Cricetulus griseus: one gene and its partners. The protein of the gene in region 4 binds, or shares a complex with, the protein of the main gene of each other region. Links are inferred from orthologs where the notes say so. Each region holds a gene or a part of one and is shown on either strand. Other genes may lie near its edges.

Evidence for each region.
Region 1: Snrnp200 (region 4) and Lsm5 share a complex: the UniProt entries of both Homo sapiens proteins name them as parts of the U4/U6-U5 tri-snRNP complex. The link is inferred for Cricetulus griseus from reciprocal best matches to the Homo sapiens genes SNRNP200 and LSM5.
Region 2: Snrnp200 (region 4) and Lsm6 share a complex: the UniProt entries of both Homo sapiens proteins name them as parts of the U4/U6-U5 tri-snRNP complex. The link is inferred for Cricetulus griseus from reciprocal best matches to the Homo sapiens genes SNRNP200 and LSM6.
Region 3: Snrnp200 (region 4) and Ppih share a complex: the UniProt entries of both Homo sapiens proteins name them as parts of the U4/U6-U5 tri-snRNP complex. The link is inferred for Cricetulus griseus from reciprocal best matches to the Homo sapiens genes SNRNP200 and PPIH.
Region 5: Snrnp200 (region 4) and Plrg1 share a complex: the UniProt entries of both Homo sapiens proteins name them as parts of the minor spliceosome. The link is inferred for Cricetulus griseus from reciprocal best matches to the Homo sapiens genes SNRNP200 and PLRG1.
Region 6: Snrnp200 (region 4) and Lsm7 share a complex: the UniProt entries of both Homo sapiens proteins name them as parts of the U4/U6-U5 tri-snRNP complex. The link is inferred for Cricetulus griseus from reciprocal best matches to the Homo sapiens genes SNRNP200 and LSM7.
Region 7: Snrnp200 (region 4) and Lsm8 share a complex: the UniProt entries of both Homo sapiens proteins name them as parts of the U4/U6-U5 tri-snRNP complex. The link is inferred for Cricetulus griseus from reciprocal best matches to the Homo sapiens genes SNRNP200 and LSM8.

The regions. Positions count from the first base shown.
Region 1 is NC_048601.1:84,604,422-84,608,588, reverse strand, and holds the start of Lsm5 (U6 snRNA-associated Sm-like protein LSm5), read right to left. Parts: upstream 2,801-4,167; 5' UTR 2,725-2,800; coding exon 2,679-2,724; intron 1,760-2,678; coding exon 1,664-1,759; intron 1,386-1,663; coding exon 1,358-1,385; intron 436-1,357; coding exon 363-435; intron 1-362. UniProt on the Homo sapiens protein: Plays a role in pre-mRNA splicing as component of the U4/U6-U5 tri-snRNP complex that is involved in spliceosome assembly, and as component of the precatalytic spliceosome (spliceosome B complex).
Region 2 is NC_048596.1:154,693,812-154,697,796, forward strand, and holds the start of Lsm6 (U6 snRNA-associated Sm-like protein LSm6), read right to left. Parts: upstream 2,801-3,985; 5' UTR 2,663-2,800; intron 2,260-2,662; exon of another isoform or gene 2,241-2,259; intron 1,401-2,240; exon of another isoform or gene 1,331-1,400; intron 1-1,330. UniProt on the Homo sapiens protein: Plays a role in pre-mRNA splicing as component of the U4/U6-U5 tri-snRNP complex that is involved in spliceosome assembly, and as component of the precatalytic spliceosome (spliceosome B complex).
Region 3 is NC_048595.1:32,848,409-32,852,467, reverse strand, and holds the start of Ppih (peptidyl-prolyl cis-trans isomerase H), read right to left. Parts: upstream 2,801-4,059; 5' UTR 2,732-2,800; coding exon 2,666-2,731; intron 2,507-2,665; coding exon 2,442-2,506; intron 2,124-2,441; coding exon 2,100-2,123; intron 1,842-2,099; coding exon 1,797-1,841; intron 749-1,796; coding exon 706-748; intron 1-705. UniProt on the Homo sapiens protein: PPIase that catalyzes the cis-trans isomerization of proline imidic peptide bonds in oligopeptides and may therefore assist protein folding. Participates in pre-mRNA splicing.
Region 4 is NC_048599.1:51,367,703-51,371,920, reverse strand, and holds the start of Snrnp200 (U5 small nuclear ribonucleoprotein 200 kDa helicase), read left to right. Parts: upstream 1-1,418; coding exon 1,419-1,463; intron 1,464-1,880; coding exon 1,881-2,044; intron 2,045-3,282; coding exon 3,283-3,454; intron 3,455-4,218. UniProt on the Homo sapiens protein: Catalyzes the ATP-dependent unwinding of U4/U6 RNA duplices, an essential step in the assembly of a catalytically active spliceosome. Plays a role in pre-mRNA splicing as a core component of precatalytic, catalytic and postcatalytic spliceosomal complexes.
Region 5 is NW_023276806.1:71,283,989-71,288,075, forward strand, and holds the start of Plrg1 (pleiotropic regulator 1), read right to left. Parts: upstream 2,801-4,087; 5' UTR 2,656-2,800; coding exon 2,647-2,655; intron 1,121-2,646; coding exon 1,014-1,120; intron 1-1,013. UniProt on the Homo sapiens protein: Involved in pre-mRNA splicing as component of the spliceosome. Component of the PRP19-CDC5L complex that forms an integral part of the spliceosome and is required for activating pre-mRNA splicing.
Region 6 is NC_048598.1:101,634,295-101,638,388, forward strand, and holds the start of Lsm7 (U6 snRNA-associated Sm-like protein LSm7), read right to left. Parts: upstream 2,801-4,094; 5' UTR 2,737-2,800; coding exon 2,731-2,736; intron 1,871-2,730; coding exon 1,777-1,870; intron 904-1,776; coding exon 832-903; intron 241-831; coding exon 98-240; 3' UTR 1-97. Other genes in the region: Sppl2b (signal peptide peptidase-like 2B), read left to right, coding at 2,892-2,942. UniProt on the Homo sapiens protein: Plays a role in pre-mRNA splicing as component of the U4/U6-U5 tri-snRNP complex that is involved in spliceosome assembly, and as component of the precatalytic spliceosome (spliceosome B complex).
Region 7 is NW_023276806.1:207,800,356-207,804,233, forward strand, and holds the end of Lsm8 (LSM8 homolog, U6 small nuclear RNA associated), read right to left. Parts: intron 3,375-3,878; coding exon 3,247-3,374; intron 1,509-3,246; coding exon 1,418-1,508; 3' UTR 501-1,417; downstream 1-500. UniProt on the Homo sapiens protein: Plays a role in pre-mRNA splicing as component of the U4/U6-U5 tri-snRNP complex that is involved in spliceosome assembly, and as component of the precatalytic spliceosome (spliceosome B complex).

The DNA of each region.
Region 1 (4,167 bases), on a different chromosome or scaffold from region 4:
ACTATCATACCACCTAAAACTCCCCATGTGCTCCTCATGGACCAAAGCCACCACTGTCTCTCCCCTATCCTTCAATTCCCATTTCCCAGATCATCAACATCTGCTAGTAATCCCAACATTAATTGATGCTTAAGAGTTTCAACAATGGTTCCTGATGAACTAAAGGTAATAAAGATTAATAAGCAAATGAATCTTAAGGCCCAATGCTCTTTCAATAGCTGCGTTGGGGCACTGATCACTGAAGGCTCCCTTCCCATCCTCAGCATGTCTAGACCGTGAACACTGAGCTAAGCAGCAGTGTTCTGTAATCCCTGCCCTATAAAAGTAATTAAATTCAAAATAAAACAGCTTTAATGTCTTACCATCGTTATATTATTTCCATTTAGTAAAATCTGATCTAATTTTGTAATCCTTCTTCCTTCTGGTGTAATTTCACTAAATAGATAAAAAATGGAGTCAGGATAAACAAGTATTCAAAGGCAATTATTTTGGAAACGCTTTTCCTCTCTAAAAATTATTCCTGGGGTAAAGAGGTTAGCTCGGTGGCAGAGCACCACCTGGGTGGCAGAGCACAAGGCCCTAGGTTCAATCCCTAGCATCAAAACTGTTATTCTTACATATGAATGAATGTGAACTCATACAATTACAATAATTTTCAGCAATACAGTCTGCCCACCAGATAATAGTTATGTAAATATAAAACTTCATAAATACAGAAGTAAATATAAAGATATATTACAAAGATATAATATAGAAGTAAATGTAAAGTCACTATAAAGCGTGTTTACACTAATTTCTTAGAAATTCAGGAATAATGACATTAAGATAATAATCTTCTGGCCCAACCTCACAAATACCGGTAAATAAGTCAGCATTAAAAGAATTCCAACAGGTAATACTTTATCCATCATACTAATCCTGCTATTGTAGTTTAAATGAAAATGGCCTCCACGGGCTCACGTTGACAGAACTGTTTGGGAATGGCTAGGAGGAGTGGCCTTGTCTGAGGTGTGTCACTGTGGCGGTGGGCTTTGAGGTTTCAAAAGAATAAATTATAACCAGTTGGCTCTCTGTTTGTCTCATGGTTATCTCAACATAGAATCACTTAGCTATTGCTCCAGCCCCACACCTGCCTGCCTGCCTGCCTGCCTCCACACACCTCACCATGAAAAAACGTGGACTCTAACCCTCTGAAACTGTAAGCAAGCCCACGCAGTAAACGCTCTCTTTTATAAACTGCCTTGGCCATGCTGTCTCTTCACAGTAACAGAAAAGGAACTAGGGTACCTGCCTTTAATTCAAAAAGATATTTCCTCCTCTCCTCCCCCATTTATTTGTCATTTTTAATACTACTCACAACTCTGTGACATCTTCCAACACCATATCTGAAATTTGTTGTTAAGAAAATAAACAAGGTTGAATTTATTCTGGTTTATGTTTTTGTTTGGTTGCAAAAATGTTCAACACAATGGTGCAAATTCAAAAGGTTTGTTGTTGGAGAGAACCCTATCTGCTTTCTGCAAGCACACCTCTTAAAATGTTACCAAGTTCCTGGAAAATAAATAATTTTTAATGTAATAAACAGAAATATGTCATCTGTCTACAGCTCTTATATTAATACATCTTTAAAAACCTGTTCCATGAACACTTTTTAAAAGGATACTGACAAAGTCATCAAATCCTAGAAGTGTACCAACAATTTCTTTATCACTCTTCATCACAATGTGAATTCTTGATCCTATACACTTGTCCACGAGCTCTGTGGAAAGAAAAAGATTGTTTTACCCACTTATTAGTTCAACAAGCATTCGAGTGCTCACTTTACTATTTCCGTATCATTAAAGAGAAACAAAAAGCAGTCACTAAATAACTACATCTTACACAAATCTCCGCTCAGCCATTAGCACAAATGTTTGTCTTGGCCTTCGCTTACCTCCTTTTTTGCTGCAACTAACGGGACTGTGATTTTGACTATTTGGTTAATGTATGAAAAACAATTACACCACAAGGTGGAAACCATGTTAGTTTTTCCTCATCAGTGTTTCTGCCGATGAACATACCCTGGAGTGGACCCTGCAAGAACTTTCCATCATTGCCACATTGACTAACTTCACCGGCGCCAAAACATGACAGAGGAGAGGCCTCACGACCGACACCAGCTTCCTGTCACTTCTCTCATCTTGCCTTTAGCTCTGTGCTTGGAGACCAACCTGAGCATCTCCGTGGCCAACCGAGAACTGCTCGGCACGAAGTCTTTCAGTGTGCTATCTGAAAGCAATGGCCGTAGTTTAAATTCGTTATTCAACAGTACCCTGGCACGGGGAGGGAACTGCTTGATGGATGGATGAATGAATGAATGAACGAACGAATGACGGAGCTAGTCTCCAGATTTCTTTCTAGGAGTCACTGTAGACCGTGGCGCCCTCCTCACACCGCCAAATGCAATACAGGGGCTCCCTAAGGTGTAGACCGGAAAGGCCACACTGCGAGCTGGGCCGGCACCGGGACATCTTAACCGGCGAGCTCACAAGCAAGGCCGAGGGCGTCCTTCACCAAGTGGGGCCCCCGCCGGCCGCCGACAGACAACGGGCTCGGTCTCCGCAGCGGCCCCAGGGGCAAGCCTCCGGCGCGGGCGTGGGGCCGCAGCAACCCGCCCGCGCCCCGGGCGAGACTTTTACCTAGCGGCAGGAGCTGAGACGGGTTGGTGGTCGCGTTAGCCGCCATGGCCACGCCGGAAGTGGCATAGGGCTACGGGCGCAGACTTTAAAAGAGCGCGCTTCCGCCCTTTCCCACAACTGGCTCAGACGGAACTAATCGGAGGCAGATCTGGCGATCGCGGGGTATCCAAATGGATCACCGACAGACTCGATAGAATAGTTCCGCACTATATCGGTGCCACCATCCCGTGCCCCCGAAGTTTTGCTAACTTGACAGTTTGTCTCCTCTATATCTGCCTGAAGACTACAACATACGAGATCTCTGAGTCGGCTAGTTTTCCTCTAAAAGGTTGGATCTTTCTTCAGAGCCATAAAATCAATGAGGATTTGCTATCACCAACTCGTTCTGCGTTTGTCTCAACTACTACTCATTTTCTTAAGGAATCCTGTACTTTTAAGCCTAGAGTACTGAAAACCCTTACGAAGCATCTTTTAAAAATATTCTATACCGAGTATTCAAAGGTTTTTTTTAATTTTTGCTACTTTATTTTATTCTGGTTTTTCGAGGCAGGGTTTCTCTGTATTGTTTTGGGGACTGTCCTGGAACTCGCTCTGGAGACCAGACTGGCTTCGAACTCACAGAGATCCGCCTGCCTCTGCCTCCCCAATGTTGGGATTAAAGGCGTGCACCACCAATGCCCGGCTTCTTCTTGTCCTTTTAGAAGTCTAGTTTATTGCAGGCTTTTGCAGTTACTAACACTTATTGATTTACAGGTAACTGCTAGATGTCACTCCGTATGTTGGTGTCATCACATTTGGAAAACATGCTATCACACTTGTGTTTTGGAAAAAGATAAAAAGCTGCTGTGAGGAGTGGCCAGCAATCCCAGCGCTTAAGAAACAGAAGGAGGCCACAGTTGCCAAGCATGGACAACTTAGTAAGACCCTGACACGAAATAGGAAATAAAAACTAATGAGAGCTTAACCACCTTGCTTAGCACTAGAGTGCTTTCCTAGCATTCATGACTTCATGAGACCTGGGTTGTCCCTACTTAAAAAGAAAAAAAAGCAGCAGGCAAATTCTTTAGCTTCGGTTGTCTCATTTGTGTCTGAGGGACTTAAACAATCTGAATAGGAGAGATCATAATCAACACCATTCATTTTTACAGTGTTTGGTAAGCACCCCTCATACACCGTTTAATTAGCAGCTCGCTGGGTATATAAAGCAATGTACAGAAAAGTCTTCTACAAGAGTGAGTGAGAAGAAGGACAAATAAATTGTATGTATATAGCACTATGAAGTTTAATAGATAAAGCAATGCCTCTAGGGATCCTTGGAAACTCCACTCCATTCTCAATTTCAAGCCAGTGGTGGCTTTTCCCCACAAACCCCATTCCATAAATCTCGTGTACCTACTAGGTGTCGGGGCAATTACAAATACATTCTTTTATTTTGGTTTTTCAAGACAGGGTTTCTCTATGTAACAGCCCTGGCTGTCCTGGAACTCAC
Region 2 (3,985 bases), on a different chromosome or scaffold from region 4:
CTACAAAGATGCCTGTTCAGACACAGATTGCTGTAGCTAACTCAGCCAAAAGGCTGTCCTTTGCTTTTTGTTTTTATTGCTTTTATTCATTTGTTTTATTTAGTGGGGCAGGGGCAATAAGCATATGCCACAGGATAACTTTTGGGAGTCTGTTCTCTCTTTACACTAAGTGGGGTTCAGCAATTGAGTTCGGGTTGCCAGGCTTGACCATAAGCACTTTGACATCAAGTTGCCTACGGTAATTCCTAAGAGCAAGTTGTTCTCAACCAAAGGTGATTTTTGTGCCCCACCCTCTAGGAACATTTGGAAATGTCTACAGACATTATGTATTGTCAAAGCGGGAATCAGACTCTAGTGAAGAGAAGCCAAGGACATCCCTCAACAGTCTACAGTGTAGAGCAGTGGTTCTCAACCCTCCTAATGCTGCAACCCTTTAATATAATTCCTCATGTGTGGTGACCCCAACCATAAAATTATTTTCATTGCTACTTCATAAATGTAATTTTGCTACTGTTATGAATCATATGTAAATATCTGCTATGTGATCTCCATGAAAGGGTCTTTCATGGACTCGGCCCACAGGCTGCGAACCACTGGTGTAGAGTCTAGTCCTTTACAACAAAGGACTATATGATGCAACGTGTCAACTCACAGAATGACTGCCACTACCACCTCCTCCCCTCCTCTTCAAACCTTATTTTCTGGTTTAAACAACAAGCAAGGTACTTTAGAATAATCAAGATGTAAATGAGAACCAGATGATGAGTACATAAACTAGTCACCTCTCCTTATCTGTGTATCCAGCCAACATCTAGTAACATGAAGTTGCAATTACAGCTCCAATGGTTTTACCTGTTACAGAGCTAAAGGGCTTTTCCCTTGTCATTACTCCCTAAGCAATATTCCATTGCAACCATTTACATCCTATTACACATTGTGAGTGATCTAGAGATGATGTGAACAACATAGGAAGACTGCATAGGTTATATGCAAACACACATATGGAACTTTGAATATCCATGCACTTTTTAATATTGGGAGCTCTGTACCCAGTCCCTCTCAGATACTGAGGGACAACTGTCTTACTTATCAGGAGTATTTTATCCCAACACTGAGAACCTGAAAACAACCATTAAAATCTTGAATGGGTTGGCATTCTAATAAATTTCTAGTTCTGGACACACAAAAAAAGTGACTTTTCTATTTTCCAGTCCTTCATTATAAAAGGAGAAAGCAAGCCAGGGAATTAAAAAAAAAATCAAATAAAAAAAATTCTATTAGGCCACCCTTCAGTGAGAGAAGACCTGATGCAGTAGTTAAGGGTACTCACTTGGGAGGCAGGTAACCTGTATTCTAATCTCCTCTGCTACCCATCTCACCTCTCATGGCCCCAGGCTCATCTGAAAAATAAGGGAGTTATGCTAGATGGTTACTGACTATGTCTTTCTGTTCCAGCATCTGGTTAACTTGTGCAGTAATACCAACACACACACAGTTAATACCAACACACACCGCACACACACACACACACACACACACACACACACACACACACACACAACACACACACACACACACAACACACACACACACACACACACGGGGGAGGAGGAGGGGAGAGACAGGAAGGGAGGGAGGAGGGAGGGAGGGAGGGAGAGAGAGAGAGAGAGAGAGAATACCAGTAAGCACGTGGTTAAGTTGTGCAGTAATACCAACACACACAGTTAATACCAGCTCTCTCTCTCTCCCTGCCCCTCCTACGAAGATTCGGCAGGAAAACCTTGATGGCAGAACGACAGGCATTACAATAAAAAATAACAATGCCTGAAGTAACCCCGGAACCACAACTGCTGGAAGATCCAAAGTTCAAGGCCAGACTGAGAAACTCCGTGCAAGTTTAAACGAGATCAGTAACGATTCCAAAGAGAGGCTGTACTCTGCTACTGTTAGAAACACAGGAGGCGTGTTCACGGATTTGGTGAAAGAACCGGTGTCACACACGAACGAGGTAATTTACTAACACTTTAAAGAGAACCAACCCGGCAACGTGCAAGAACTATCTAACCCAATGACTTCTCCTCTGAGAACTTGTCCAAGGAGATGGTGAGAAATAGAGTCAAGGGCGGGAAGTGCATCCCAGGATCGCATGGACGCTAAGATGAAGCCATCGGGGAAACACCGGAGTCACTTATGGGACCCAGGCAATGACAAAACAAAAGCAATGAATGTTAAAGTTACACCTGGCTGCATGTGTTTAACGTAGACAGAAGACCGAGTATTTCTGGTAGTACTAGCGGAAAGAGAAGCAGGCACACACAGGAGGAGAGGAGTGGGCAGACGGAAGCGCCCAGCAGGGATCCTTTCCCCGGCTCCTCGTGTCCTCGTGTGGAGGGACTCGAGCGCGCACGGAGGAGGGGGGCGCGGGAGCGGCGGCCGCCTAACCCGGGCTGACACAGCCGGCGCCCGGCGCGCGCACGGCAGGACCGCACGGCGCGGGAGCGCGAGGCCGCGTGGCCCTGACGGCCTTCCGCTGCTCGCAGGCCGGCCTGGGCTCCAGCCGCAACCCCGCCCGCCCCGGCCCTCCGCGGCCTAGGCCGACCGCTCCGCTCCAAGCACCCACCCGCCCCACCGCCCCTCCCTCCCGGGCCGCGCGCGGGCTCACCTCGCAGCCGGATCCGGAGCCCTCACAGGCCGGGCCTCCGCGGACGCGCGCGGCGAAAACCGAAACCGCCCCCGGCAGCGCGCTTCGCTGCCTCACCCAATCAGCGGCCTCCTTGCCTACGGCAGCCCGCGGGGACCAAAAGGATCAGGCCGTTCCATAACGCTCACTTCCAAGAATTGGTTTCTTCAGTGGTGAATTCAGCATCCAGGGGCTGAAGTAAATGCCGGTGTTCTGATGTTGCCGTCTTTTTTTTTTTTTTTTTGCCAGAAAATCGAATCAAAAGCAAAACAACCAAGAAAAAAAATTTAGAAGTAATCTTTTGAGATTCCAATACAGTAAAGAATACCTTAAAAATGACAGGAAACAGAAACTTACGATTAAAATAATAGGCTATTAAGTACCCCAAATAGCCTTAAATAATTTAAAGCAAATAAAAGTTAAAAGCCTCAAGCTCCCAACCGACTTCTGAATATTAATTAAATGTATGAAGTTTAAGTTACTGTTAGAGATTGTTTCCATAGCAATTTTGCTACAAAAATATAAATAATTTAAAGCAACTCTATTACAATGGCGCCAATTGTAAAAAGACATTACAAATTAGTTTAATTGGAAACAGCATGCAGATACCATTTAAGTGCTGTGGGGGAACTTGGTTGGGGATAATGCATGAATTCTTAGTGTATGCTGACTGTTTATGGAAGGAAGAGATTACAGGAAGACTTGATTCCTTTTTTTCTACACCCATGCTCTCATTTATATTTTACATTTATATTTTAATTTCTCTTTTATATTGTATTTAAGATTTATATTTTAATTGTTTCTGATGTTTAATCATCAACACAGTTATAAGACCTTCAAACAACAGCTACACACCCTGTTAGATCTTACAGGTCCTACAATGCAGAACTTTTTCCTGAGACAGAAAGTGGTTCCTCCTTTCCTAAGAGCCTCTTAGTGAATGGCGAAAGAAACAGACCAGTGACTGGTGCCACAGACAGAGAACTGGCTGAGATTTGGTAAGGAACAGCCATATCTTTCTATCCTCTGTAAAACCTCAGCTGACTCGAAGACCGTCAACTACAGACATTGATAAGACAGCATTTTAGGCTCTTGAAATGTAAAATATAAAATTAAGAACACAAGTAAAGTCACATTTAAATCAAATAACTGTCTGCAGAGAAGAAAAGTGCTATGCCCTGTCCCTAAAACAGGCTGCTTTGTAAATCAAACTGGAAGCTGAGGATTTGGCTCAGTTGATGGCATGCCTGGTGTGCATTAACATCTCTGGCACCACAGTGGTGGGCACAGCAGTGCACACCCAAG
Region 3 (4,059 bases), on a different chromosome or scaffold from region 4:
CCTTGGGCTACCTCAGCAAGCAGAGCAAACACCCTTTGAATTGCCTGCCTCTCCTGACCCCTTGCCACTAACTGGCTTGTGGTTATCAGCCAGGTGGTGGTGGCGCACGCCTTTAATCACAGCACTCGGGAAGCAGAGGCAGGCGGATCTTTTTGAGTTCGAGACCAACCTAGTCTTATGAGAGTTAGTTCCAGGCAAGCCTCCAAAACCACAGAAAAACCTTGTCTTGAGAAACAAAAAACAAAACAAAACAAAAACCAAAATAAAACAAAAAAACCCCTCAGCTTTCAAAAGGAAAAAAGACAGACCACAAAAACAAACAAAAAACTACAATTTTAGAGAGGGACACCAGAAGTGGAAGGAAAAATAGGGCATACAAGCAGTTGGCTCACTTCCTGTGGGGGAGGGGGGCTGCAGCTAATTTCAAAGTTTTCTGTGGTCAAAGAATGTGGTCTTAGATCATCTGTCTATAGGTAGACTAGCAAAGTCCAATTTTTGGTAACAAAAAAGCTCAGGTTTGGACAATGGGAGTTAATGATTCAAGTTTAGTATTGGTATATGTTCTAAGGGCACAGTCAGCAGTACCAGCAATTCTACAGTGCATCCCCTAGTCCATGCTCTCTCCATTTAACTTAGCTATTATTCTTAAATCTCAAGACTGGAGCCCTATAGGAAGAATAGCAAAGAAAAAACAGCAGTACTTACATTAACAAAATCTCCACCCTGAATCATGAAATCCTTTATGACCCTGAAACAGAGTAAAAACAAAACAAACAAAAAATTCCCGAGGGAAGGATTCAGTGGTTTGGTCACCAACATAGCAGCTTAGTAATTTTTTCTGAAGTACAATGTTTATCACCGTGGCTTAGAGACTGAGTCTTCACCCCTGGAGTTGAGCAAGATGAGGGATTACGAACCATAACTTGTTTTAAGCTCCAGGGGCATCTTTGTGTTGATCTAAGGTATATGAGTGAGCACCTGAACAACAGAAAAGGGCTGAAACCTGTCAGGAAGAAATAACATATTTACAAAAAAAAAAAAAAAAAAAAAAAAAAAAAAAAGTCAAGGGCTTAATGAAAATCTGGGGGGAAAGAAAGAACAACAGCAAATATATGTGAAATGGACTGCCACACACACACAGGGTAATGTAAGCTGTTATATACCCAGGCATAGTCCTTTCTTAGCCCCAGTTTCCTTCCTTAAAGAAGGCAGATTACACATACTACCTCACAAGGATGCTGGGAAGGATTAAAGACCATAATTCTAAAGCCCCTGATATGGATGACACAAAAATTTCAGGATTAAAGTGGAACAACTTCTGTCAAACCCTAACAAAAATTGGTAAACACAGAAAGCAAGGCATTCAAGAAGGTCAGGTTCCTGCAGATGACTGCCTGATAATAGTAATTATTACCAAAGCCTCTACCTGGAACCAGGGGGATGGTTCAGTGGGTAAAGTCCTTGTTAATGAGGCATGAGGACCTGAGTTCAGATCCCTAGAACCCACATAAAAGCTGGGTATAGAAGCCTATGGAACTGCACCTGCACCCAACTGATAGTGTTTTCCTTGCCATCATTTCTACATCTAGGATGACTTACGGTGCCTGTGGTGCTGAGTATTGAACCCAGGGTCTCAGGTATGCTGGGAAAATTCTCTACCACCAAGCTACATCCTCAGCCCTGGACATGACACTTTAAACAACAAACCTAATCTACCATAGGTGTACTCAGGTGTTCAGGATTGCCTGCACAGATACCAAGTGATGACTGCATTAACAGTTTGCCAAAAGCCTTACCTATGGAAGGTGCTTCCTTTGTATCCTATTGGAACACCATCTTTTCTGTAACCAAAAAGAAAGACTTGGAGTGATGACAAATAACCATGGGTCCTTTCCGTTTGGGACACACTGGAGGCTAAAAGGACTCTCAGAAAGATTTGGATAGAAGCAAGCTAAAGAACGCATCGATAAAGAAGACACCCTCTGAATATCATCTTCCACCACTCAAGACTTGCCCATGGTTCCCCAATACCCTCACCAAACCTCCAGGACACCCTTCAGGAGTAGGAGGAATAGAGGTCAAACACATCTGAGACTGACCTGAACTCTCCAGTGCAGAATTGCCTAAAAGGAAAGAAACAATGAACAGTTACCATGCCATCGCTGCCCGGAGCATCTCTAATATCGGGAGATGAGGGTACAAACAGTGGGGCCAGCAAGTCCACTAACTGGTCGGCCGGATGTCAGGGCATGCAGCCATGTAAACTAATATCACAAATTGACACAGGAACGGTCAAACCCGGTAGCTATTCGGCCAGTGCAATAATACACAGAGCACAGAGCACAAGGCAGTGGACGGATGGACAGAGGCAGACATTGCAAAGAGCGCCCCGAGGCCGGCTTCGGGCTCAGCCACGCTGATTCAGTGGAGCATCTCCTCACCTGAAGTTCTCTGCCGTCTTAGGCACCACGTCTGCAAACAGCTCGATCTTCATGCGACCAACCTCCTGCAAGTGACGGGAGACGCAAGAAGGCTCAGTCCACGACCGCAGCCCACGCAGCTCGGAAGCGCCCACCTCGGCCGCCCTGGCCCAGCCAGTCTCGGCTGCCTCCCTCACCCGTGTCCTGCCCAGCCGCGCAGGTCCGCCGGGCCTCCCGCACCTCACCTGGCCGCCGATGCTGACATCAAAGAAGACCACCGGATTGACTGGACTTGAATTTGCCACCGCCATGGCTCTGACCCGGAAGTAGAAGTCCAGTTTCCGGGGACCGGCCTTGCTGAATTCAGCCAAAGCACAGGGGCCGTGGAAACCGACCGGGGTTGGGCCCCGCCCCCGGAAGCGCGGCGCGGACCGCCGGGAAGGCGGACACTGGTGTTGTAGAGCGGGTCGGTTCTGAGGGAAGGCGGGGATGAGGGGAGAAGGCGCAGAAGCGAGGGAGTGCAGGCATCTTCGCCGAAGGCGGCGGGCTCCCTACTCGCGTGACTGTACTAGTGCAGTACAAATGAGTGACCGGCAGACAGCATTTGCTGAGCCGTCACACTGGGTGTCCCCTGCCCCCGAGGCGGCACCCACGAGGGGAGAACCCTCAGAATCACCCTCCGTGTTGTAAAATGTTACGTAGGCTGGCTCATTCGGGATCCTGGAAATGTGATTTCATTTCTGTCGCAAGCTTCCAACTCATTTCCCACAGAGTTGCAGTTTAAGAAACAACCTTTGTGCTTGTAAATCGTGTGTGGGGGATTTGCATATTTAACGTAAATCCAGCTGTGTATACGAAGGCCCGAATGCCATTTATTTGCCACCGCTGGTAGCGAAGACCTGAAAGTAGAGACCTCACACTACCTAGCCTCATCTCCTGCCTACCACTCTTTACCCTTTCTGGCTCGGTTGTGGAGACGTTAGATTGCTACGTCCTTTAAGGCCTTGATTCGAGTTTTGTCTCTTCTAAAATATTTTTTTTTCACCTTAAATGTTTTTGAGACAGTCTTGCTGCTTATCAAGGGCTGGCTTTGAGCTCAACGATATTCCTACCTCAGCGTCCCAAATGCTGGGATTACCTACATGGTTTGCCATATCCTTTTGGAACTGGCGTTGAACAGATGGTTCAGGAGGATCAGGGCATCCCAGCACCCATGCGACAAACTGGGTATCCTGCATGTTATTCTTTTGTTTAAAAAGAAGAAAAGAGAAATATTGAGACAGACATATTGACTATAAGTTTATTATAAGGCCCGGTAGAATGGGGAGACTAAGAAGAGGAACAGGGTAATGGCTGACCGCCATGGCCGGTCGCCATAGAGAGAGAGAGCGGGGAAACAGAGAAACGGGGAGAGAGAGACAGACAGAGCGTAAAGGTGCAGGGGCCTATCTTTTAAAGGGGTCCTCTGCACCTGCGTGCAGACTTCTTTCCCATGGAACCTTGGGCTGACCAGGGTATTGCCTGAGTGGATTCCACCAGGTAATGGGCAGGCCAGCATAATGCCTGACCCTTTCATTCCCACCTCTACTTATTATTAAAAAAGCTGTAATCTCAGCTTCAAGGAGGGTGGAGACAGGAT
Region 4 (4,218 bases):
GGGAGGCAGAGGCAAATTGGAGGCCAGCTTGGCCTCAAAAACAAATAACAACAATAAAAAATAATAATATAGAATAAAATAATAATAAATATAATATAAATATTTTGTTAGTAATATGTTAAGATATAATATATAAATATTCTATATATTATTTGCATTATAAACATAAATAATAAATATAATAATAATAACAACAATAATAATAGCATGCAGAGAAGTCTCTTCAGAGCAAGTTTGTGGCCTACCTGGACTCCAAAAGATCTTTTCTCAAAAGCCAAAGAAGGGCTGGAGTGATGGCTTAATGGTTATGAACACTTGGCTGCTCTTTTCAGAGGACCTAGGTTTCAACCCCACCACCCACAAGGCAACTCCTAACCTATCTGTAGCTCCAGTCCCAGGGGATTTAATACCTCCTCCTGGCCTTCTTGGGCTCTGCGCATACATGACACACAAACATACATTCAGACACAGATATACACGTAGCCAAAACACCCATATACATAGAATAAAACGAAAGTAATGATAAACAGATTAAACAATAAAAATTGCCAGCAAGATGGCTCAGTGGATTAAGACACAGGCCTAAGGGTCAGTTGTGCTTATTAAACCTAAAGGGAAAAGTAGAAATAGCTGTTTTGTTTTCAATGTAGAGAATTATTAAAAGATTAGATACCGCCATTTCATAAAATGTATCATTACTGCTTAATACATCTGAATAGTATATCTGAATAGACTTTTCATATATTTCTTTAGTAAATGTAGCGTTTGTGCCACATTGAGAACAAATAATCCGTATCTATAATCCTGACATGGACTGTGACAGATCATTGGGTGCAAATATTTCTTCCTTCACCTTCAGTCAGCTGCCACAGCGATTGACTCTTGAGGAAAAGCGTTGGGGGCAGCAAACATTTCCCCAATTTCTCAATACAGAAGAGAAATCCAGTCAGTTATTAGAAGCATGTTAACTTGCTCCTTCAACTTTCTCATCCTTAATAAACGGAGCTCCTAAGCTTCCGTTTGCCTGCAAGCATGCCTGCCTGCCTGCCTGACGGGACCGCTGGACTGAGAAAGCAAAAGTGTATTACAGAAAGGGACTTTTAACACCACACTAAAAGTGGCTTCGTGACTCTGCGTACGTATAGGTCCTTGGAACCATATTGCGCAGGAGCGTGTTTCCTAGGTCCACGGAATCCCTGACCCGGATGTATTACCTTCTGCAACCGCCACCTAGTGGCGGTGCGTAGTCGCCGGAAAGTATCACTTTTAGCGTACGTCCCGGAAGCGGAAGGGAGTCCGTTGCTTTTCTCTGTCCCGCACGTTTGTCCTGCGTCGTTCCTGCTGGGCCGGCGCGGTTTGTTGAGGCGGTTCGCAGCGTGTGGAGAGTGGAACCCTGAGTTCCCGGAGCATCGGCAGCCATGGCGGATGTGACTGCCCGCAGTCTGCAGTACGAGTACAAGGCGGTGCGTGAAGTCTCGGCGGAGGGCTGCGGGCGAGGGAGGCCGTGGGTAGCCACAAACACGGACGGAATATCTGATCTGGGTGAAGGCTGGATTAAAACACGACGGAATAACTCTAGTGGGGTTTAGGGCGCGTGAGGACTCGGGAGGTTTTTTCCCAGTCTCCTCAAACCGCCCCTTCCTACTCGTTATCCCCAAATCTGCTCAACACTTCACCTAATGTGGGTTATTGTGACTACTGTTAGGAACGTTGATCGTTCACTTTACCAGACAGTCCGGTGCTTGGCGTTTTATTATACTGTTTCTTCTTAAGGGGATTATTCCTTTTTCCCAGTATTTTTCCATCTTCAGGTGTCACTGTGATAACAGGAACCGAAGCTATTTATATATTAAAGTTTTGATTAAGTATGATCTTTTCAGAACTCAAATCTTGTGCTCCAAGCTGACCGCTCACTTATTGACCGGACCCGCCGGGATGAACCGACAGGAGAGGTTCTGTCCCTGGTTGGGAAGTTGGAGGGAACTCGGATGGGAGATAAGGCTCAACGCACCAAACCACAGATGCAGGAGGAAAGACGGGCCAAGTAGGTACCAACGGGGTGTTATATTTTCCTTGTAGTCTAAAGCGCATCTTGAACATTTGAGCAGTAGTTTTGATGAAGTACCTGTGGAAGATCAGCGGTGTTTGCACAAGAGAATGAAAACCTCTTCAAGGTTTAAAGTTTCTTTGGACTTGGGTGCAATGAAATGGAACAAAAATCTATTAGTACTTTTTGTTTCTGATTCATAGGTAGATGCTAATTTTCTTCAAGCTATTTTTTTCTTAAAAATCTGTTTCATTTTTAATCATGTGCATGTGTGTTTTTTTGTGAGTATGTGCACATGCATCCAAATGCCTGTGAAGGCCAGAAGACAGTTTGGAACATAGGAGCTGGAGTTTCAGGCAGTTGTGAGCTACCCAGTTTGGAGGGCTGGGAACTGAACTCTGATCCTCTGCAGAAGCAGTATTGCTTCTAACTACTTGAACCTTCTCCCCAGCCCCGTCACCAACTATTTTCCAGACCCTTGTTAATCTCTTGTCTCAGCAGTTCAGCCCCACTACCACTGTTAAAAGCTTCTTACCCTAACTCCCTCCGGTTGTTGTCCACTTCCTGATGCTTTTGTTTTGTTGTCTCTCCCGTTTTTTCATCTTGATAGATCCATTTCAAAAGTTGCATGTTCTCCTACTGTGCTTTCTTTCTCCTTTTTCTTTCTGTGAAGTCTTAACAGTCCCCAGGCCCTGTTTAGTTTGAGTGGTTATAATTGGGGAGAGTTGTTGAGACTTGAGAGAATTGTTAAATTTGAGAAGAAACATTCCTTGGTCCTTCACTTTTCAGAATCTGGCTTCTTTTCTAGCTGTTTATTGGGAGTCATAGAAGTAGATTCCCCTGGAGCCTAGCCTCTCTGGCTAATAAAAGGTTTTGTTTGTTTGTTTGTTTTTTAAAGTTGAAATACCATTATATTATCTCCTCATGAGGATAAAGAAATAAATACTTCTTCAAATGCTTAAAGTCAAGTGGGAATTACTTATTTTGATTCATGTTCCTGCTTGCACATATTAGATGTATAGAAAAGGTAAACTTCGGGGGTGGGGGGCAGGGGAGGAGGAGAGGGAGAGGGAACTGGGATTGACATGTAAATGAAGCTGGTTTCTAATTTAAAGTTGGTCTAATTGCAATTATAAAAAGAAAAGAAAAGAAAAGAAAAGAAAAGAAAAGAAAAGGTAAACTTGACTTGGGGGCGCAAAGTTCTCCCATTGAGCATCACACCCTGTGTTCATTAGGAGAAGAAAGCGTGATGAGGACCGGCATGACATCAACAAGATGAAAGGTTATACGCTGCTGTCAGAGGGCATTGATGAAATGGTGGGCATCATCTATAAGCCCAAAACTAAGGAGACGCGAGAGACCTATGAGGTGCTGCTCAGCTTTATCCAGGCTGCTCTTGGAGACCAGGTGAGGCTGGAACCAGAGGATGAGGCCTTGTGTTTGGAAAGAGAAAGGGTGATGCACAAGAATTTTGGTTAAATTATTAGTTACAAATATTTATTCTGTTTGTGGAAATCAGGACAACTTTCATCTGTGTGGGACTCAGAGATCAAACCTAAGTTGTTGGCCTTGGTGGAAAGTATAAGTTTGTTTTGCTTCTGAAAAGCATCTACCTAATCCCCCCCCCCCCACTTCTGGGGACTGACTCCAGGATCTCTCATGCTTTGTTTTTGTTTTTGTTTTTGTTTTTGTTTTTTTTTTTTTTGTTTTTTTTTAAGTTTTTCAAGACAGGGGTTCTCTGTGTAGCTTTGGAGGCTGTCCTGGAACTAGCTCTTGTAGACCAGATTGGTCTCTAACTCACAAAGATCTGCCTGCCTCTGCCACCTGCCTCTGTCTTCCGAGTGCTACGCTTAAGGGCATGTGGTACCACTGTGTTAAATCCTCAGCAGCTCCCTATAGTCTTTAATTTTTATCTTTTGGTTTTTCAAAACAGGATTTCTCTGTGTAGCCTTGGCTGTTCTGTAACTCACTCTGTAAACCAGGCTGACCTCAAACTCAGAGATCCTCTTGTCTCTGCCTCCTGAGTGCTGGGATCAAAGCTTATTTTTTAAATTTTATTTTATTTGTTTGTGTGAGACAAGGTCTCATGTAGCTCAAGCTGACCTCAAACTCACTGTGTATTCAAGAATAACCTAGAACTTATGGTCCTGTTGTTTCTCCAAGTGCCAGGA
Region 5 (4,087 bases), on a different chromosome or scaffold from region 4:
CAATTTCAGCTCATCAAGGCTCCAGAGCAAGAAGCTGAAAACTCAAAGTGATTCATTAAAAATAAAATAACCTAACAGGAATGCTCTGAATTACTGGGTAACATAGTTACTTTTCTACTTCGGTGGCAAAACACCATAACCAAGGTAATTTACATACCAAGTATTTAATCTGGGGATCATAATTCAAGAGGGTTAGTCTTTGAGCATCATACTGGGGTGCATAAGACGACAGGTAGGCATGTTGCTGGAGCACAGCTAAGAGCTTCTATCTGATTCACAAGCATGGGTGTTGGGGGAGCAAGAGCATGCTAACTGGGAATGGTGTGGGCTTTTGAAATATCACAGCCGACCCCAGTGACATACTTCTAACCCTTCTGAAACAGTTCTACCCACTACAGACCAAGCATTCAAATACATGAGCCTATTAGGGCTGTTCTCCTTAAAACCATTACAGTGGGCATTTCTATGACTAGCTAATGGTATTTTTACTGTAAACGATAAAACAAGGGACTGGAGAGATGGCTCAGCGGTTAAGAGCACTGACTGTTCTTCCAGAGGTCCTGAGTTCAATTCCCAGCAACCATATGGTGGCTCACAACCATCTGTAATGAGATCTAAGGTGATCTCATTACAGATCTAAGGTGATCTAAGAGGGCACATCTAAGGTGCCCACTACTGGCATGTAGGCAGAAGACTGTATACATAATAAGTAAGTAAAATCTTTAAAAAAAAAAAAAAAGATAAAATAGAAAAATAACAAGTAAACTCTACTGATATTATGACTAAAAGCCACTTGCCCAAGTATCCTATGAGTGTCAGTACCACTTTAAGACCTTTGAAAGTTACCCTCTCTCTCTCTCTCTCTCTCTCTCTCTCTCTCTCTCTCTCTCTCTCTCTCAAAAAAAAAAACAACAACAACAACAACAAACGGTCACCTTCTCTCTGCGCTATTCTACCACTATTAAAAGTTCAAAGTTCAAATATTTTACTACTAAAAAGGAATAAAAACTTGCCTCTCTTCATCCAAAGGCACAGGTTTTCCATTATCAGATACAAACATGTCATGGGTCCTCTTCAATGACCTGAACACCAGTGTGTGTACAGAATGTTTCTGCACCTCCTGTAAAGAAACAACCAAAATCACACATCCAACTGCAAGTGAAGCACACATTCTTATCCACACTAGAATGGTTATGTTAAATACACAGAAGGATGTACACTCCACACAAATCTGTAACAAAGTACAGCAGTCAACAACAAAGATGAGAAGGCTCCTGTCTGGCTGGAGCTTTGGGCAAAGCAAGTGAATGAAGCCTAGGATAGTAATTTGTTTAATCAACATTTACTGAGCTCGTGCTGTAACTGGCATGTAGTGTGCTCAAGAAATAACAGTCAAAAATAAGGAAAACAATTCCACATTTTGGGAGGCTCTATGAAAACAGGTAATGGGATGAGTCACAGAAAAAATAGAAATGATAATTATGAAAGATTTATATGAGGTGGTATTTAAACAGAAAGGGAGACAGTCTTACACGGAACAGAGGTATGAACCATGCAAACTGAGGGAAAACGCCACTGCAAAGGTGTTCAAATAATGCCAGAACTGCAGCACAGTTGTGAAAGCTGTGGGATTTGGGGCTGTAGTACAAAATGAGGCTTCAAGGACAGGCAGTGGTGGCACATGCCTTTAATCCCAGCACTCATGAGGCTGAGGCAGGTGAGCTTGAGGCCAGGCTGGTCTACAAAACGAATGCAAGTAAGCCAGGGCTACACAGAGAAACCCTATCTCCAATCCCTCTCCCTAAAATGAGGCATCAAGGGCCGGTGAGGTTCAGACTGCTGTCACCACCTACATTTTTATTTTAGTAATACTGAACCAGAAAGGAGGTTTAAGCAGGAAAAGCAGGACCAATTCATATTTTATTTACGCTTGTGGTACTGGAGACAGAATTCAGCGCCTTGCGCATGCTAGACAAGCGAACCACACACTCCTTCAGTGTGTTCGCTAAGCACCAGCCCTTAGACCAGCTAGAAGCTAATTCATCAGTCCCAGCAAAAGATGCTGGGCTAGATTAGGAAGACTGCAGGGGAGCTGAAATGCAGTGGGTGAAATTAAGAAACGCTTGGGATATGCAAAAAAAAAACAAACAGAAAATTAAGAAGGGCAAGCTTTAGCCGGGCGTTCGTGGCTCACGCCTTTATTCCCAGCACTCGGGAGGCAGAGGCAGGCGGATCTCTGTGAGTTCGAGGCCAGCCTGGTCTCCAGAGCGAGTGCCAGGATAGTCTCCAAAGCTACACAGAGAAACCCTGTCTCGAAAAACCAAAGAGAAGAAGGGCAAGCTTTACTCCAGTAGAACCTAAGTAACAGTAACTGACAAGAGCTTGGACCAGCATCCCATCCACGGAAGGCCCGCCTCCGAGGACAGCGCCAGCTCCCAGGGACACACAGGGACTTCAAGGTTCTCTCAGGCTTCCCGCCGACCGAACCTCGGATTCGAAATGTCATTGGCCTTTCTCTCGCCCCGAAATCCCGGGACCACCAACCTTGGCTAAAGCTCCTTTCCCTATTTTCCCAGCACGTTCACCCTGCACGTTCGTGGGCAAAGCAAAGCTCCAGAGATAAACGACCCCCAGGCGTTACTTTACCTCCACCATGTCGCCCCGGGTTAGCTCACTCCTCCAGCAGGGAAGAAACTCAAATGATGGACGCAGAAATCGCCGCCACTATTCTGCAGCTCCTTCCGGAGATTGGGGGTCTGTCGGCGGATGTGACGCCACCCGCGCACGCGCATTGGCCACCCTCGCGCGGAGAGGGGAGAGGGGCGTTGTCTTAGAGGTCGAGGGCAGGACTTGGCGGAGTTGAGTGGAGCTTCGAGTCTGAGAGCCCAATCTTAAATTCCGCCGGGAGGAGCTGGGCGGGGCTTAGGCGGGAATGGGCGGAGTCTCCAGGCGGAGGGGCGGGTCTCGCAGAAGCTGGAGCTCCTGCAGGAGCAGGGCGGGAGCAGAGGGAGCGCGGTAGCCTTAAGCCCTGCTTAGGGGCGGTACCTGTTCCCGGAAGCTTAATGCTTATTAATAACAAGGAGATCCTAAGCAGTTTTTAAAAAACGATAGAGAACTTTTTATTTTATTGCGCCTGATGCTAAAGTATTGAAGTTTTGTCTTTTACCCAGGTAAAATGTTGTTCTGTGTAAAAATATTTGATGTAGTTTGTATTTGCGGTTTTTTTTTTTTTTTTTTTTCCAGACAGGGTTTCTCTGTGTAGCTTTGGAGCCTATCCTGGCAGTCGCTCTGGAGACCAGGCTGGCCTCGAACTCACAGAGATCCGCCTGCCTCTGCCTTCCTAGTGCTGGAATTAAAGGCGTGCGCCACCAACGCCCGGCTAAAGGGCCACATCTTGGAAAGGAAAGGAAAGGAAAGGAAAGGAAAGGAAAGGAAAGGAAAGGAAAGGAAAGGAAAGGAAAGGAAAGGAAAGGAAAGGAAAGGAAAGGAAAGGAAAGGAAAGGAAAGGAAAGGAAAGGAAAAAGGAAGGAAGGAGTCCCTGCACTAGCTAACATCGTGAGCTGCCTCTTGTGAACAGTAGATGTCACTATGGCTCTTCATAAGGGTGAAAAGGATTTTTTTCCCCCCTTTGAGGAAACATGACAAATTACTTATGAATATAAATATGAATGCTGCATTTGTATGTGTGAAAGCAATCATGCAGATTTTTAGGAAATCCCTTCCTCATTAACCAAGCTATTCTCACTCAACAATAAAAATCTTTTTATCTTCCTTCAAATAGTGTACCCTTTGCTGTTGACCAATGATAAAGGTAAAGTGGGACCAGGTATTATGGGAAGGACCTGTGGGCCTAACAGATTTAACTGGAGAATCAAATGATTAAGCAGAGAAATGCTATCACTCTTGAACATCAGTGGCTGAGTGTTCTCTCTACGGTGCTGCCATGAATGTAAAATCAAGCCAATGGACCTGATGCTCTACTTACTTCCTTTGCAGATTTCAAATTGCTTAAGAGTCTGATAGGGCTAGCATGGGGTAAGGATAGCATGCTCACTCTTGGTCACCTGTAGTGTCATCATCCTGACAC
Region 6 (4,094 bases), on a different chromosome or scaffold from region 4:
AAAAACAAAATAAAAAACCAGAAACAAAATCCAAAAGTAAAACACCAAACAAAGTTCACACAGGAAGGAAGGTCCTTGGGGCCAGATCGCTCTCCACCTAGGCATCCTGCTGCTGCACGAAGGGGTTGGGGATAGCCTCCATGCCATCCTGTGGGCAGATGAGCACCACTGAGGTGCCTCGGCACACCACAAGCCCCAGCTGCCGTGTGTCTTCTGTCAGCTTGTACTGGTCATCAGGGTCTGGTGGGAATAGGGGGTGACAGGCAAGAGGAACTGAAGACATGTCCTTTCCACCCAGCACTCCACAACCAGGACCTCAGAGGGCTGTCCCATCTTTCTTTTGGGGACTGACACACCCAGGCCCTGGGGTCTCAGAGCCGACTGTAGGCATGGATACTACAAGAACCCAGGGCAGATACTCACCCCAAGGAGTGGTCTGCAGGGGAAGCAGAGGCCCCGGGGAGGATGGACCAGAGGTGGAGACAGGGAGCAATTAGAAAGTAATTGTTGTGGGTGCAGAGGAAGGGACACTCTTTGGGCATTACAGGTACTATTCTGGAATAAGCTGAGATCCTATGCGTCCTGGAGCTGGTGACACAGGCAAACAATCCAGACAGAGGACAGTAGCTACTATTTCTGCCATCCCCAGGAGGGCTGAGGGGAAGGAGCTGAAATCTCAAGCCTGGGGCCATCATGGTGGGCCTGTCACCTTTCTGGTGATCAGGGAGGGACCTGCACCCTAGGTCAGCACCACCTGCGGCAATGTGACTGCACAGGTGTGGAGAAGAAACAGGGCCTGGTGGCATCCCTGGACAACCACAGCCAGCTCACCTCTCATGTACTCAATGGTTCCATCCAGCACCAGGTTGAGCAGTGGGTCAAACCCTTTCAGGATCCCGCTGGCTTGAAGGGAGAGATGGGTAAGGATGATGTTATTGTCCTCCCACTACAGACCCAGGCATGGGGACAGTTATCACTACAGAACTCATGGGGAGACATGTCCCTATGTGGTGGCCTGCTGACTATGACCCCCAACTCTCTTCCTACAAGTGTGGAAGGGGCCATAGATAGTGAGTTCATGGTGGACCAAGTGTCAATAAAATGTTATCATCCCCCAAACTGAATTCTGTATAGTTTCCATGTAACACAAAATAGCCTTTTTTCCCCTCCCATTTGTATGAGAGAGTATCATTTGCCCAGGCTGGCCTCAGACTCACTAGGCAACCTGAAAATAATCTTGAACTTCCCGATTCTGTGTTTACCTTCCTAGGGTTGGAATAGCAGGCTTGTACAACCACACCTGGTTTCCATGGTGTTGGAGATAAAATCCAGGGCTTTATGCACACTAAACCAACCCTCTATCCACCAAGCTATAGCCTAGCCCTGGTTGATTTTTGGAGACAGGTCTTGCCACATAGCTCAGACTGGCTGGAACTTTCCCTGATCCTGCTACTGGAAACCTCCTGGGTCCCTGCTACCTCCAGGCTCTTGAAGGGATGCCTTCCTTCCATCCCCCTGTTGCCTCCTTCTTCTATGTCCTCCCAGCTTTCTGGCCTCTTCCTTCAGGCTCCAGCAATAATGGTGTGGGTGCTACCGCACCTGGCTTTCTTTCCCTGGGACTCATTTTCCCCATCCACAATTGAGACATACTGGTACCTCTCAAGTAACAGGATGGCCCAAGCTTAGCCTTTGTTAAGAGTTAAAATGCCTGCCTTGTGAGGCTTTCCCTTGCTTGTCGCAACCCCGATTCTTAGGGGCCCTGTTGCATCCACTCACCTTCCCGGCCACCCTGGAACTTCACTCGGATGGTCTTGTCAATGTACTTAGATAGGTCCAAGATGCTTTCTTTCTTCTTTTTCTCTTTGTCCTGCTGGAGAGTGGAGGAGCTGAGGAGTGAGACCCAGTCTTCCCATATCCTTGTTGCCTGGACCCGGCACCCAGCGACTCCTTTTGACCATCCTGCAGCCCTCATAACTGTCTGCAAACTCATTTCCATCTCCCATGTTCCCCCAACTAAATTCCAGGTCGCTGAGTCTGCATCTCTCTCTATTCCCATGCCCCCTGTGTATATCCTCATGTCCCCTGCCTGCACCCCCAGGTTCCCGGTCTGCACCCCCAGGTTGCACCCCCAGGGGTCTGCACCCCCAGGTTCCCGGTCTGCACCCCCAGGTTCCCCCTCCGGTCTGCACCCCCAGGTTCCCCGGTCTGCACCCCCAGGTTCCCCGGTCTGCACCCCCAGGTTCCCCGGTCTGCACCCCCAGGTTCCCCGGTCTGCACCCCCAGGTTCCCCGGTCTGCACCCCCAGGTTCCCCGGTCTGCACCCTCCAGGTTCCCCGGTCTGCACCCCCAGGTTCCCCGGTCTGCACCCCCAGGTTCCCGGTCTGCACCCCCAGGTTCCCCGGTCTGCACCCCCAGGTTCCTCGGTCTGCACCCCCAGGTTCCGGGTCTGCACCCCCAGGTTCCCCGCCTGCTTCCCCAGGTTCCGGGTCTGCTTCCCCAGGTTCCGGGTCTGCTTCCCCAGGTTCCGGGTCTGCTTCCCCAGGTTCCCGGTCTGCTTCCTCAAGACGCCCGGTGTGCAGTCCCACGTGATTCCTATTCCTCCGCGTCCCTGTCTCCCTATCCGTCTTCGGGTGTCCGCCCCCCTCTCTTTGGTCCTCCTGTGCCCCCAGTTTTCGCGTCTACAGTCCCTCGGGGGGAACCCCGCTCTCTCCGCGACCCAGCAATGCTCACCGCCATCTTGCCGACCTGCGCTGCTCTGCGCAGGCTCCGCACCGCCCACTTCTAGCGAGGGGCGGGCCCGCGCACGCGCAGGGCCGGCGCGTGCGCGTCTCGGGGTCCCGAAGGCGTTGCCGGGAAACCTTCCGCCTAGAGCTGCGGCAGGACAGGCGGACATGGCGGCGGCGCGGCTCGCCGCGGCCCTGCTGCTGCTGCTCGCGGCCCAGGTGAGCGCCACGGCTGGTCGGCTCGGCTGCACCACTCGTGACCGTGGCCGAGACCTTGCTGTCGTCCCCTCGCTGTCGCCACCGCAGACTTCGGGCCGGGCTTAGCCCGCCCTGCGCCCCGGGGCCCCAACTGCCGCCGCCGCCCCTGCCAGCCTCAGTTTCCTCTTCTGCAGAATGGGGCGAGTCCCCGTCCTCCTCCCCCAGGGGCTCGGGAGGGTCCCCGGGTGCCTGCAGCCCTGCATCCCGGCTTCTGCTCCGTGACCTTGGGCAGGAGGGGTTCCTCACCTCTGGGTCAGTCAATGCAACACGCGGGGGACCCGTGGGGGCCTCCGGGTGCCGCGGGATGCGCCCCGACCCGGTGCCGAGGCAGGACGTTTGGTGAGCGTCGCTTGCTGAGACACAGTCGCATGCTGGCCTTGAACTCATTCTGTAATGCGCGCTGGCCTCCCACAAGCGCTGCAGCCCAGGATGGTCTCTTGACTTTGCCATGTTGCCCAGGCTGGCCCTGAACACCCTGTTAGTCTCCCAAGTGCTGGGATGCCAGGCCTGCGTCACAACACTTGGCTTAGTTGTTAGATTTCTTGTTTGTTTCTGTGGCATCAGGCTCCAGTCCCAATGGTTCGTGAAGGGCTGCAGCCTCGGGCACACGGGGCAGTTGCTGGGTTCTAATGCGGATGGCCCACAGGGTGGCCTGTGCACGTTATTCTATATATTCATCTTCTCTCATGGACCCTGGGTCTGGATCGTTCTTTCAAATACTTTTTTTTTTTTTTCAAGATTACAAAATCTTGAGACAGGATCTCCTTTTATAGCCCAGGCTAGCATTGAACTTGTAACTGAGCCTCAGCCTTCCCAACACTGGCACAACTGGCATGCTCTTCCTTGATTGGCTAAGAAGTTAAGACATTACCCAGGCGTGGCGTTCCTAGCCTCTCCACCATGTGGCCCACATCCCCCTTTGACGTTTTTGTCCCCACATCCCGCTCTTGGCTGGGCATGAGCTTTTGAAAGTGTGTCAGGGCTCCCCACCCTGCCAGCAGTCCTCAGCTCTCTCTGCCTCATTTTTACCAGGCCACTGGCCTGTCTGGAAGCCTCCGTCTTTGGGCAGGTGATGTCCACCAAGGCTATTCTTTTTTTTAGGGGGTGGTGGTG
Region 7 (3,878 bases), on a different chromosome or scaffold from region 4:
GTTTCAAAATTTAAAGTACTGTGTATTAAGTGTCTCTGGCTCATGGTCCCTACACTCCGCTACCCATTCTCATCACATTCATCTTGTTACTGACTATAAAAGTTTACAGTACAGGCTAGGCATGATGGCTCTTTCCAACCTCTCCTCACAAAAGTTGTTTTTCTTTTAATTAACCAAAATGATTATATCGAATCTGAGTGTTAGCTCATGTCTGAACTCTGGGGGGGGGGGGGCATTCCAGAACTTACAGGAACTGTCCATTATCCTTTCCTTCTAAAAATATCTTAAGCCAAGTCATAAAATTATGCCATTTGGGCAAATACAGCCTGCCTGCATTGAAAATGATGTTCTATCGGGAAGACAACCAAGACTGCACTTACGGGTTACCTACTGCTGCTTACGATGTAACCAGAGAGGACCGCAACTGTTAGAGACCACATGGCCTTTGAAGCCTCAAAGTTTTACTATTTGCATCTTTACAGAAATGTTTGCACTTTCACTTAAAAAAATGGAAAACACTAAAAAGATGAGTTTTATTTCAATTACAAGAATGTACACATTTTTTCTCGTCTATCCAAAGATAACCATTTTGGCCCACACAGGAAACAGATGAGTTCTGGGAATGCTTAACATATATAAATATGATCTCCATCACCACTTCCATGAATTCTTTGAAAAGTCAAGGTTACCAAAGCAGCTTCATGGAGCACGTGAAGGAGTGAGACAGCAAAGCACAGCTCTGCATTTAAGTCAACACCCACCCTGAACAAAAGCTCGTTCAATGGCTGACACTCCCCATTTCTCTTTGTAGGTTTCAGCAGTCCAACGGCATTTAACATACATGGAATTGGTTTTAGATACTGAATTCTGTGACCTTCCTGAGCATCTGAAGATTTATCCACATCTTCCTAGTCACTCTTACTTTCCTATTAATTTTTGTTGCAATTTTAATGTGCAAGTTTTTCACTATTCAACCAATTTTTAATTCACATCTCTTAGACAAAGAGCAATTTTTCAACCAATGTAGAACTCTAGGGCAGTGGGATAAACATCTACAGCTCAACACAGAAAGAAACGTGTCTCTTATTACTATTACTTGCATGCATAAGTTACTATAATAACCTAAGTTCTCTTTACAGCCAATTTTCCATAAATATTAAATTACCAAAAGTAATGGTATTTTCTAAGTTTTCAAAATGATCTATCATTTAGTAGAAAAATAAATCAGGCAACTGCATTTATTAATTTAGGCAATGTTTCCCAATAAAAATGTAGAAATATTTAAATTTACATATTACAATGTACCAACACAAAGTCAAAATCCACAATTACACACTCATAAAAAAATCTAAACGTCATCTTCAGAAGACGCAGTTTCTGTACAGGATTTACAGACATCTAACCACACACTGTGTCTTCAGTGTGCTACGGAGTTCAGAGGTTCGGCTCGGATGTTCCCCAAGTCCAGTGCAGAGTCTGTCTCTTCATCAATTTCTCCAATGACTGCTCTATTATCAGTATGAGGGAAAGACAGAGTTAAACACATGCTGAAGTGAACTCCCATACATTTCTAAAACCCCATTAACTACAGCATCATTTCACTCTTCCAAATGTGAGGAACTGGGAAGATGCAGTGACTACACGAGGTGGGAAACAAAAGCCATTTCATGACTCACTGAATGAAGTCCTAACACTCAGGTAGTGTTAAAAGAACAAACAATAAAGAGATACTGCAAGTGTTTGAACATCAGATCTTTGGAAAACTAGTGGCTGGTCTGCTGCACTCAAAGTCAAACAAAAGTCTGTTTTCCTGAGCTCTTAAAAGCAGGCTCTAGCCTCAGTATGTTTGTGGTAAATGTTCAGTTTGGTTTCTTTGTAACACAGATGTAGGCAACACAAATCATCCAGCCCATACACTCGCACTGCAGTGTTCTGCTCTGCTGCTCGGGGATAAGGGCCCTTCTGCTCAGGCTCACGCTTTACAACTCACGCCACAATTTCACCCAAGTCATCTCCAGAGAACATTTTGATAAGGATCAATCAACTTACTTACAAAATACAGATTTCAGATAAAATTAAGTGAATAAAGCACATATTCATTTTAAGATAAACTTCCAGTATTCACTAATAACTAATCTTACAGATCACCAAATGAATTAAGTATCACTTCTCCTATCATCTTACATATCCCTTCAAACCTAAACTTGCTGTCTGTAGTAATATTTTGACTCTTCGTAGTATTCTAGAGACATTAAAATTCAAGTTTTAGCCACATAAGGCAGAATGAACCTATAATCCCAATACTTGGGAAGCTGAAGGAGAATGAAAGAAGTCTGGGCCATATAGCAAGTTCCAGGTCAGCCTGGGTTACATTAAGAGATTCAATTTAAAACAAAAAACAAAAACACCAAATTTAAAATTTAGTTCCTTGGTCACCAACCATTTTTCAAATATGACAACTACAAAAGCAAGTAGATATAATACTGGAAAATGTTGACATTCAAGACTTCCATCATTAGAAAAATGAATATTTTGAATAGCACTGTTCAAAATGGTTTCAGTTTTTCTCAAATTGCCATGTCTAAGTTTTCTCAAACTAGACTGTCAGTGTCCTGAATTCAAGAAGACTATAGGTTTTTCATGGGACATATTAAGTATATCCAGTCAATAAAAACAGTGACAGCTAAATGAGCCTGAATTTTTTAAAATAGCTCAAACGGGAGATTTTTTTAAGGAGATTTTCCAAATGTCAAGAAGCCTCTTTAAGGAAAAATTTGGTACAAAGCAGGGCCCTTTGTGGGCCTATCCATGCCACTTTCCTAGTAGAAACACACAACACAATAGTGGTTTAGGCTACTCAGAGGCTGTAGTAACAGGTAGATCTACAGTTCAAAGTCAGTCTAAGCAACTTAGGTAAGCCTGGTCTCAGGATGTAAACAGTAAAGAGAGCTGGGGAACACAGATCAGCAGTAGACTGTTGTTCTGTATGTGTAAGACTATGTTCAAAAGCCAAGTCTCAAATCTCAGTAGGTCAATGTTTACTTTGTGAAGAGACAACTTTAGTTGGTTCCTGAGGTTACCTCAACATAAAAAGAATAAATTAAAAATAAGATAAGCTATAGCTGCAAAACAGATGAATTCTATTACACATGGATGACATATAAGTTGGGGGAAATCTCTCTTCCATAATGCAAGCACACCCGTAGTGAAAAAGTAACTTTACTCAAAATGACTTATTTTACTTACACATTGTCACCTCTCACGATGTATAATCCTAATACCACTTGTTCCACTCCTTGTGAAGAGCTGAATACCCTCTCGTGGCTTTCATCCAAAATCAAATTAATAGTCTGGTCAAAACCTTTTAGTGTTCCCTGAAAAGAAAATGAGAAAGACAAAACATGCAAATCAGCTTACAGCCATTTTAGCTGCCAGGTAAGTACTTATGTCTCAGTGTTAGTCCCCTGGCAGTACAATATCTTCTGCGTTCCGAAGCAGTCACAACACAGAGCTTACCTCTCACTTGTTTTATAATAGGGAAAACCTTTACTGAAAATCTGACTATTGTGCAGTTGCAAGCAACACCCAGGCACTAGTATTTCCAAGTAAATAAACTCACATGGTCCAGGAACTAGCACTAAGAACACAAACTAAAACAGGACACCGTTAGGATAATTTTTTTTTAACTTAATAATAAGAACCACAAACCAGCCATACAGTTCACTGGATGTTACTACTTAGTGAAAGTCACTAGCTAAACAAACACACTGAGCAAATCACCTCCACTTTCCTTCACCTTGGAGATACTGCTGTGTTTTGCCCATTTCACATAAGGGACCTGATACTCCAGAAAATGATGGTTCAAGATTTCATGGGTA